Lytechinus pictus: one gene and its partners. The protein of the gene in region 2 purifies or fractionates together with the protein of the main gene of each other region. This does not show direct contact. Links are inferred from orthologs where the notes say so. Each region holds a gene or a part of one and is shown on either strand. Other genes may lie near its edges.

The links.
Region 1: the proteins of uncharacterized protein LOC129254990 (region 2) and CREB-regulated transcription coactivator 1-like purify together in Homo sapiens (affinity purification with mass spectrometry; 3 studies listed by BioGRID and IntAct, with this or other methods). This does not show direct contact. The link is inferred for Lytechinus pictus from reciprocal best matches to the Homo sapiens genes YWHAE and CRTC1.
Region 3: the proteins of uncharacterized protein LOC129254990 (region 2) and protein chibby homolog 1-like purify together in Homo sapiens (affinity purification with mass spectrometry; 3 studies listed by BioGRID and IntAct, with this or other methods). This does not show direct contact. The link is inferred for Lytechinus pictus from reciprocal best matches to the Homo sapiens genes YWHAE and CBY1.

Annotation. Positions count from the first base shown.
Region 1 is NW_026974140.1:7,637,166-7,640,924, forward strand, and holds the start of CREB-regulated transcription coactivator 1-like, read left to right. Parts: upstream 1-1,135; 5' UTR 1,136-1,192; intron 1,193-3,759. UniProt on the Homo sapiens protein: Transcriptional coactivator for CREB1 which activates transcription through both consensus and variant cAMP response element (CRE) sites.
Region 2 is NC_087246.1:3,534,957-3,538,715, forward strand, and holds the start of uncharacterized protein LOC129254990, read left to right. Parts: upstream 1-1,226; 5' UTR 1,227-2,791; coding exon 2,792-3,136; intron 3,137-3,759. UniProt on the Homo sapiens protein: Adapter protein implicated in the regulation of a large spectrum of both general and specialized signaling pathways. Binds to a large number of partners, usually by recognition of a phosphoserine or phosphothreonine motif.
Region 3 is NC_087254.1:20,301,043-20,304,801, forward strand, and holds the start of protein chibby homolog 1-like, read left to right. Parts: upstream 1-1,122; 5' UTR 1,123-1,218; intron 1,219-3,177; 5' UTR 3,178-3,190; coding exon 3,191-3,380; intron 3,381-3,759. UniProt on the Homo sapiens protein: Inhibits the Wnt/Wingless pathway by binding to CTNNB1/beta-catenin and inhibiting beta-catenin-mediated transcriptional activation through competition with TCF/LEF transcription factors.

The DNA of each region.
Region 1 (3,759 bases), on a different chromosome or scaffold from region 2:
TTCTCAATATTCTCATCATCAATACAATTCACTTTATCATGGAATTTCATTCTTAATTAGAATTTATTGATGTTGTGAAAATATTCATTAAGAAAAGGAATATTAGGTGGGAAACTACATAAATAAAGCCCATGTCATGTTTGCATATTATGGTGTCTTTATCAGGTATGACGTATTCAATATCCTGTAAACAATAGATTAAAAATATATAGAAAGAAGTCATAGAACACAGTTTGAAAGCCAAAGAATAAATTTGTTACTCAATTTAGAGAAAATAAGATGTTTTTCTCTTTTTTTGTTCTCGAGTTTATGCAATAACTTACTGATCAGATCAAAATGGAATTTAAGAAGTGGAATTACTTCTATTCCATATGCAAAAAAAAAAAAATTATACTCTAGAGTATAATAAAAAAATACTCTTAAAAAATGACAAGATGGTTCTGTATCTGTCTTAAAATATGACAGTAATAACAGATATTTAATTTATGAGTGCTTGATGTGAGGCTAGAGTGCCGGTGGCTTGAGGAAGTCTGTAGAAAGTCGGTTTTTCCCTCGAGTTTCAAGCCTCTGAAATATTCATGAAATTGACACGTACTGATAATAATGCCTGGCAAATAATGCATAGTGCAAGGCAGATTTAAAACCTTCCATTTTACTTGGCAAGGTCTTCTTGTCACTCTCTTAGAAAGGAAAAAAATCCTTAATATCATTCTTCAGTTACTGTAATTGTGAGAAAAACACATTATTTAGGGGGAAAGTGTTCAGGTGTGATTTGATTTGTTTTTTGCCCTTTCAATATGTTTTTTTTAATAAAACCACTTTACTTGTGATGAGAAAGGATCTATGCACTTATTTTTTTCTTAGGTTAGAATTACAAACATGAATCACAAATCAATACATAAACATGCATGGGCTGCAAGAACGTTGGGGATTTTCCTCCACTTGAAACAGCATAGCGTATGGACTATTGAACAAGGTTACTTATTACTCTTTACAATGGAGTTAGTTATTGCAGATCTTTATGTGCATTAATTAATTATATTTAAAAGAATTGTTTCAAGCAAACTGCTAAATGTTTTGTGAATTCTCTTTAATATCTGAACGTTTATTTATATTCCTTGACTGTATAACACGAAGCAGCACCGTACAGTGCACCCTACCTATCACCGCCAAGTGACACAAGTTGGAGAAGGTACGTAAAAATCATTTTTATTTTTTCAAATTTTAAACAGGAACTTCACCCTGACAATATGTTGATTCTAATAAAAGCAGCAAAATAAGAGAAAACAAATATTGAAGAATTGGTGAAAATCCATCACAGAATAGGAAAGTTGTAAATTGTTAAATTGATATGTCTATGACATCGTATGTGAGCAGCTTCCATTATGTCATGTATTATTATCCGCATCAGACATCTGAGCTGGTCATTTACAAAACCGTATTGCACTAGATTTTCTGAATATCGGGAAGGGATAGGTATATTATTTGTATTATATTCAGTCTGTATGCACGTATTGAATTTGCATGCAGAGACGGCGCAAAATATACCTTTGTATTTTCCCTGGTCTCACATCTGGGCATTTGAGGATGCGTAGAAAGAGATACGCTTCATAATGATCCGCGCAGCAAATATGGAATAAGAATAAGAAAGTTGAGGAATTTAAAAGTTTTGTGTTCTGTTTCACCATGGACTTGCCATTAGTTTTAAAGGACAATGGTATGCACATTAGAGAATCAGTGTTATGTAGTCACATAAATTATCTCATTTTAAGCTCTTGATTGAATCCTAAGTTATTTAAATATCAAACATGATTAATGTTTTACATCCTTGGAGGGAAAATGAAATATTTTAATATTACATTTTATACAATTTAGTGAGTGTGTGACTTCATCCGTTCAGGCTCCTCATTTCCCTACTGTCCATATTGTGTATATAACTGTGAAATAGTTGTTTAATTTTAAAATTTTATATTATTTTACATCAATTTTTGTCTCGCCTGCATAGCAGAGCGAGACTATAGGCGCCGCTTTTTTGACGGCGGCGTCAACATCAAATCTTAACCTAAGGTTAAGTTTTTGAAATGACATCATAACTTAGAAAGTATATGGACCTAGTTCATGAAACTTAGGCATAAGGTTAATCAAGTATTAGTGAACATCCTGCTCTAGTTTCAGGTCACGTGACCAAGGTCAAAGGTCATTTAGGGTCAATGAACTTTGGTCAAGTTGGGGGTATTTTTTGAATTACTATCATAACTTTGAACATTTATGGATCTAGTTCATGAAACTTGGACATAAGGTTAATCGAGTATTAGTGAACATTCTGCCTGAGTTTCAGGTCACATGACCAAGGTCAAAGGTCATTTAGGGTCAATAAACTTTATGGATCTAGTTCATGAAACTTGGACATTAGGTTAATCAAGTATCAATGAATATCCTGTGCGAGTTTCAGGTCACATGACTATGGTCAATGGTCATTTAAGGTCAATGAACTTTGGCCGTGTTGGGGGTATTTGTTAAATTACCATCCTAACTCTGAAAGTTTATGGATCTAGTTCATAAAACATGGACATAAGAGTAATCAAGTATCACTGAACATCCTGTACGAGTTTCAGGTCACATGACCCTGGTCAAAGGTCATTAAAGGTCAATGAACATTGGCCGTGTTGGGGGTATTTGTTGAATTACCATCCTAATTCTGAAAGCTTATGGATCTAGTTCATAAAACTTGGGATATAAGAGTAATCAAGTATCACTGAACATCCCCTGTGAGTTTCAGGTCACAAAACCAAGGTCAAAGGTCAGTTAAGGTCAATAAACTTAGGCCATGTTGGGGTAATTGTTGAATTGCCATCATAACTTTGAAAGTTTATGGATAGAGTGAATGAAATGTGGTCTTAAGTCACCGTTCAAATGTCATTCATGGTCAATGAACGTGATATTATGTCATTATATGATTGGTGTTTTTGTGAATGATTATTTTATAGTAGTTTTCAAAGTTAGCACTGCTGCTATATTAAATCGCGTAATGCAGGCGAGACTGCCAGAGGCGTTCCACTTGTTATGAAATATTTATGATTATGCTTGTCTGATTTTTCTCGGTATATTCAAATAGACACTTTGCCTTTAACACCAACAACAACAAATATCTGCAGTGTTTGTACATCTGAATATACTTTTGTTTAATGCCCCTTTTTAGTGTTTGTAAATGCTCCAAAACTGTATGTCAGCATTTCAGTGCATTTTTAAAAAGATTTTATGAATTATATGCCCTTAAATAGTTATGTGGAGGTTATGAAAAAAAAAACTGGATAAATTTGTGGTTTTAACATGAAAATGTGCTTTACTGGATAAATGTATGGTTTCACATGAAAATTGCATTGTTTTAGTTTTTCAGGAATTATATGCTCTTAAATAGCTATGTGGAGAATACAAAATAATCAATGTTCTTTACTAGATAAATCGGTGGTTTTACATGAAAAAATATATTTTCCTTATCAAAATTAAATATCTGAATCTGCATATATTGTTTGTTTTTTTCAAATATCAAAACACTTTTTAAAAAAGTTTACAAATATTTTCAATACTTGTTATAAAATTGAAGTTGAATAATTATTCTGTGAGAATTTTTATTTAGGAAAAATGATTCATTCTAATTTTTATTCCAATAATACTTGTTTTTTAGTCAAGCAGTGTTAAAGCGATATCTATTTCCTTTTATTAACAATGATTATTTCCATTCCTTGCAAATTTTTATAA
Region 2 (3,759 bases):
CTATGAGTAAAATTTTGTCTGAAAGCATAATCTCAAACAAGATATATTAGTTCTTCTGCCAGGTTGGTTACAAATACTGTATTTTGAAAGTCAAAATGGCCGCTACAGGCCTCAACAGTATTATGTACAATGTGAATGGGGACAAATGATTTTGATACATTTTTGCTTTGCTTGACTAAATGGTGTTGTATGAGTAAAGTATTGTCTGAAAACATTATTACTAACGAAATATATCATCTAAAATTTAGGTGATAAATATTATATTTCAAAATTCAAAATGGCCGCCATATGCCCTTTTGTGAAAATTATCTGTTCTCATTCAAATTGTATATACAGTAATACAATAAGGACCCATGGCAGCCATTTTCCATTTCAGAATACAGCATTTATCACCTTAAATGCACCAGACATGATATACCTCGTTAGGAACCATGGTTTTAGACAATATTTCACTCTTACGCAATACTTATAGTCAAGCAAAGTCAAATTCTGTCAAAAGCGTATGTCCCAAATTACAATGTACATAATACTTTTAGAACCTTTGGCAGCCATTTTTATATCAAAGTACAGAATTTATTACCTCCATGACCAATATGTGATGTATCTACTGTATTTAGAAATCATGTTTTGAAGACAATATTTTTACTCATACATCGCAGATACATGTACATGCATTTTATTGTTCTCACACTTGTAAAAAGTAGATTCCCTATACGCATGTAACATAATTTAATTAGGGATTGCATCAGCTATTTTGAATGTCAAAATACAGTATTTATCACTTACATGGCAGAAGAAATGCTATATTCTATAAAAATCATGTTTTCAAATAATGTTTTATCATACAACAGGATTTTATGGATTTCATAGTTAGGTAAATCAAAATTCTTACAAACCTACATGTCCCCATTTACATAGGTAATAGTGTTAGGGCCTATAGGGGCCATTTTGAATTTCACAATACAGCATTTATCTCATGCATGACATAAGAAATGATACATGTATGTTTCGCTAGAAAACATGTTTTCACACATTATTTTACTCCGTGATCACAATTACATGCATTTTGTAGTTCTTACTCTTGTGAAAATTAATTTCTCCAATCGCATCGTACACAATGTATAATGGGCCTATGGCGGCCATTTTGAATGTCAAAATGCAGCATTGATCACATAAATTGCATTTATCTTTCGTTAAAAATTATGTCTTTAGCCAGTATTCCACTCGCTTATCTTAAATGGGAATCCAACCCAAATGAAAACTTGTATTTGTAAGGAAAAGAAAAATCGGACAAGTTGATAGGTGAAAGTTTGAACAATATTGGACAAACAACAAGAAAGTTATGAATTTTTAAAAGTTGTAAATATTGGTAATCACTATACCCATGGAGACTTCAAATTGGCCGCATATGGGATGTCATAGTTATGTAAGGCAAGGACTACTCTTTCATGTACTCCAATACATATTATGGCTAAAATGTCATTTTTCCTATAAGTTTTATTTCAAATTATATTTTTCGTTCATGAGGACATAAAAAAAATATACTACCTGGGTTATATTTAGATTACTGCCCCAGTGGAATGGGTACTTAAAAGTAAACCACAAATCCCTGATAATAAAGTACATGGCCTATGGGAAAGTTGTCCTTGCCCCTTGTCATAATTTACTTCCCCAGTTGCCAATTTGAAATCTACATAGTATTAGTGATCTCAATTTTAAAACAGCTATAACTTTCTTAATGCTTGTCCGATTTCTTTCAAACTTTCACCATTCTGTTTAATTTATTTTTCTCCTTCCCAACACAACATTTTATGGCCAAGGCTGGATTCCCCTTTAATACTAGTAATGTGCATTTTAGTATTTACTCTTGTAAATTTATTTTGTCCCCATTATTGTACATAATACTGTCAGGGCATTTGGTGGCTTTTTGAATATTAACATGCTTCATTTATTACATACATGACATGACAAAATAATGATACATTTCGTTAGTAATCATGTTTTCATCCATTATTTCACAAAAAATCACAATTACTTGCATTTAGTGCTCACTTTTGTGAAATTTATCAAAATCTTAACCAAGGTTAAGTTTTTGAAATGTTATATGGACCTAGTTCATAAAACTTAGACATAAGGGTAAAAGTGTATCACTGAAGATCATGCATGAGTTTCAGGTTACATGATTAAGGTCAAAGGTCACTTAGGGTCAACGAACTTTGGCCATATTGGGGTTATTTGAGGAATTGTCATAACTTTAAAATTTTATGGATCTTGTTCATGAAACTTGGACATAAGAGCAACCATGTATCCCTGAATATCATGTGCCAGTTTCAGGTCACATGACCAAGGGCAATGGTCATTTAAGGTCAATGAACTTTGGCCATGATGGGGGTATTTGTTGAATTACCATCATAACTTTGATCGTTTATGGATCTGATTCATAAAACTTGGACATACATGTAAGAGTGATCAAATATCACTGAACATCTCATGCGAGTTTTGGGTCATATGACCGGTCACATAACCAAAGTCAAAGGTCATTTAAGGTCAATTAACTTTGGCCATTTTGGAGGTAAATATTAGATTGCTGCCATACCTTTCAAAGTTTATAGATATAGTTTATGAAATGTGGATATAGGGGTAATCAAGTAGCACTGACAAGTCTTACGTCGCATGATCAAGGTCAAATGTCATTTATTTTCAATGAACATAGTATTGTATCATTATATGAATTGTATTTTTTGTGAATAATTATGTTAGATAGTATTTTTTTTAAATTAGCGGTGCTTAGATGAATGGTGTGATGCAGGTGAGACTGCCAGAGGCGCTCCACTTAATTTGTAATAATCTTTTTTTCTGGTATGCACTGTATAACTTTTGTATTTATCTGTTAAAGCAGTATAAATCTTTTTTTTCTTTTGCAGAAATGGTTAGCTATATGAAAACGGTGGCCAATTCAGGTGATGAAGATTTATCAGTAGAAGAAAGGAACCTTCTGTCAGTAGCTTACAAGAATGTAATAGGAGCAAGACGTGCCTCATGGCGCATTGTCAGCAGCATTGAGCAGAAAGAAAAAGATAAAACAAAAGAAGGTGACCAAGACAAAGTAGAGGAGGTCAAAAAGGTCAGATTAGAGGTTAGTATTCTTCAAAAGTTTGAAATTTATTATAACAAGTTTAGTTTGCCGTCAGTGGCGGCACCAGAGCAGCATTTACTATATGTGTACATTTTTTTCAGATTTTGAAATTTCTGGGGGGGTGCAAATGCCCCCTGTTGCCGCAATTGTACGCAAGCGAATCAGGTCCCGAAGATGCGTCACTCATACCATAGCACACATACCCTAGGGGAAAAAATACACGGGGGCGGCGGGCGAATTCGCCCCGGAAATGCCTAAAGTCGCCCCCAAAATCACCCCAAATTATGCTTGGGGGCGGCATAAAATCTGGAAGTCGCCCCCGAAATAATTGCCAAACGAACTGGTTAGGCTGCGCTGCTAGCTCAGCGGCCCAAAGCCGGCCGGAACGCACAAGATCCGTTCTTTGATAGTGTAAAATTGCCTTTTTCATTGCATTTTGAAGATACCATCATAAATTTGCCAGAAAATAGATCTTGAACTCTGAACAAAATCAGTTTTTTCATTTTAGTGATTTTTCGATTTTGTTCTTAAATCTGAACTAAGCCTTCGGGTGCTCTGGAAATATCAAGTCAGAAATTAGGATTTTAAGCGGGGATTTTCGGTGAGTAACAGTTGGTGCCTGA
Region 3 (3,759 bases), on a different chromosome or scaffold from region 2:
CATTTTTTCGCGGACGAAATATCCTCTAAAAAATTTGCCCCCCTTTTGGAAAATCCTAGGTACACCAGTGCGTGCATGGAACGTATTCTAACGTTAGGCACAAATTAACGTCAGTGATCTTGATCCCCGTCTTCACCCAAAATTAAGGATTTCGTAGCTGAAAAAAAATTGACAAGAAAAAAAAAAAGATCTTCACGTTCAAAAGAGGGGACAAACGTCTTTTTTCGTTGCATTTTGACATTACAAATTATTAATTTGGCTTCTCAAGGGGGGGGCACGTCCCCTGGATCAGTTGTGACTCGTCAGGGGGGGCAGTCTGCCCCCCCCCCCCTTCGGTACACTAGTGGTTCCATGCTGTACGCTGTAGCGCGTAGATCAGAGTCTAGATCTAGAGACTAGACTAGAACTAAGATATTTTTTTTTAGATCTAGGACTGGTTCTGTATACGGACTAGACATATTAAAGTTTGGTAAATAAGCTAATATTGGTCCAAACCTAATCAAACGTAAAGTTCGGAATTAACAAGTTCGAAGTTAACCATGGCATTAGTCGGCTATTCCTATTAGTATTAGGCATTAGACAGGTCCAGATTTGAGGTAAAGTTAATGCGCTAGCCTAAGCTAGCCCTACCCAAGCACATGTCTTGCCATTAATGGCAGCTAGTTTATTAAGTGTTTAAGAATTTGATATATATATATATATAGATCTAAGCCTATAAGGCCTATGTAACTATGTAAGGGTACCGGTAATTTGACGATGCTAATTCATTCTGAGCAACGTGAATGCTTACGATCGGCAGTGGTCGAGACGAAGTCCACGCGCATGCGTACTCTCAATCCGAAGACACAAGTCATGAATATTCATATGTCGGTCCAGAACTCGGTGGGAAAAATAATTTCGCCCCCCGGGAGCCCCTCCTCCTTGGTTCTGCGGCCCATGCTGAGGTGCCCAATAGAACATGACAAATGAGAATTATAAGTAATAGGCCTAAGTAATGAGAAGACAGAAAAAAAGATATTGAAAATTGAAATGAAATTAAATTTGACAGAAAATCAAATCTCGTTTCAGTTCCTCTTGATAAAAACTTGAAATTTCCAGTGGTGATGAGCTAGGGGGGCCCTCTCTCGTCAAAAATTCAGCAGAAAAAAAAACAAACAAAAGCGATTCGATACGGTTCTAACTTCTACTTTTGTGGACAGGTGTTCAACTTGACAAAACGTAAGTGGTATTTAGATCTCTCCTCAAATTGATGTATGTTTTATTATGGTTCTGGTTTATTGTTAATGATATTTACAAAAGTATGAAAGGCAATTTCCCAGGTTTACTGACAACCATTGCTCAGTAAACTCGGAGTAAACTACCAAGTTTGCCCGACTTAAGTCCCATATATTTAGATTTATGTTGTTTGAAGTGAGACTGAACTAGGTTTGCGTTTGACGTTTGTGAGCGATGAGCGAGCGCGAGATTGATGCCATTAATTGCCACCCTTTTTAAAGCCCGTCTAAAATGTAGCCTTAATAAAGGTTGAATAATGACGATGGGTTTAAATTACCAATCTGTGATACAATCAGTCGAATTGCTCAGGACTAGTTTACAACTATTTTTATTTTAAAATATTAATATAGGCCTAATTTATAATTTTATTTTAGTTTGCAGTTTGGGAGCCAAATCCCTGGCTGGTTCAATTGTCATTGTCGTAAATGTAATGTAATTCAAGCTGTTATTTTGAACAATTTATAAGCCTGTTTGCTTATCACTACAGTCTACTTCTGATTTCAGGTTATTCACGAACTTAGCGAAGTAACGCTTGATAAAATAAAGCAATTGTGACGTAAATTGTAATGTTGCCCTGCAGTCGCGCATCATGTATGGCGCGCACATGCACTTAACTCGTAGAAATCTACAATATGTTGGTTCATAAACTGGTTCCAGCCAAATTTTTTAAATACTGAAAATAGCGATCAACTTCGGCTCCTTCTGCGCAAGCGCATTAGCAGAAATATGGCCAATATTGCCCTCTGTTTTGTACAGGATTCCTATGGGCAAAGCCCGGGGAGGGCAATATGGCAAATGTTTACCTCGTTGGTCTCGAAATATGACTTTTATTTATTTGCTAAAAGGCATAGGTAATAATGATTGATATAACCTTGTTCTGTGACTAGTAGTAGGCCTGCTCCATGTGTGGCAAAATAAGGTTGGCAATGTTTGGCTTATTTTCTCTTTTTCTTAAGGACAAATGCTTGATTATCTGACACTGTCAGTTTACATTTACTATTATAGCTATTCATCATATAACTTGGATCCTAATTCTTTTATTTTTTCTAAATTAAAAACAGAGATTGAAAATGACAATTTTCTTGCCACATTACTTTCCACCATAGAGGGCATATGCAAAAATATTCCCAAAATTCAAGTCTTTGAGTGCTCTGGTGAATACAAAAATTATTCCCAACCGAAATACTAATGGAAAATGAATTGCAACTGTATGGAAATTAGGATTTTTGGTCACAAAAGTGACATTTTAATGATTTTTTAAAGTGTGTGCTCTGTACAGCATTGGCATACCATAGTCCTACATGTCGATTCCCCACATTCAGGATGGTTGCAGTGAGCAAGTGATTTGGACCCACATATGTGATGCGACCAACCTCACATTTATTAGTGATTTGTAAGTTATTGCCATGGTTGCATGCAGTTTGTTTGTTGTACCATGTTTTGCTTTCATGAATCCAGCCATAAAATGTGTAAATGGCTGATAATACATTTCTTTTTTAGTTTCGTGAATTAATTTTATATAAAAATCATTCTTTTTGGAATAATTATGTAATAAAAAGATTTAGAAAATGAGAATTCAATCACCAGTGCCGGCACTGTTTACTCTGTCAGCTGTAAATGAGCTGATTTAAGCAGACCAGTGCATTTGCAATCGATTATGGTGTCGTCAAAAACATTAAAATTCAAAAGGAAAACTTTTTGGGTTGCTTAATTTTTTCCTAATGAAGAGTCAGAGAAATTATTTTCAAAAATAGATTATTTGAATTGATAAATCAGTCAACTGTCTCTTTATACTGCTCACTCTTCATTTAAAAAGAATCAACATCTTTAATATAATTAGATTATTTAAATTTTCCTCATGAATTTTGACGATTTTCTATCCAATTTCATTTATTCTGACAGTGACCACACAAGCATGCCTCTTCTCGGGAACAAGTTCAATACAAAGAAGACCCCTCCTAGAAGGTCGGCCTCTCTCAATAATCTTAATCGCTTGGAGAGCTCCATCAGAGAGGAAGAGTATGGGATGACCTACGGACAGCCAAAGGTCAAACTCGGGGGTCAAGAACTCAAGTTTGATGAAGACAATGGGGTGTGGATTGCTGGTGAGTTAGGCCCTTTGTTGAATACCGGTTCTTAATAATTCTGATTTTTTCCTCTATCTCTTACATCCTCTTTCTCTGTCTTATTCTATATTCCTCATTTTCTTCTTATTATTGCTCATTCTTTCTTCCTCAATCCCCCTTTTTCCTTCTTGTTTGTTCTCCTTACCCCCACCCCCATTTCTTTCTCATTCCTTCTCATCTTTGTTCTTCTCCTTTCCTTTTCCTTTTCCTTCTTCCTCTTTGTTCTCATCTCCTTTCTCTTCTTTTCTTCCTTTACATCATACACTCCTCATACAAATGAACAAATTTGTAATTTTTTTAGATATTTCCCATCAGTCTATATTTATTTTTTTATTGAAAAATTGTATCAATGATTGAA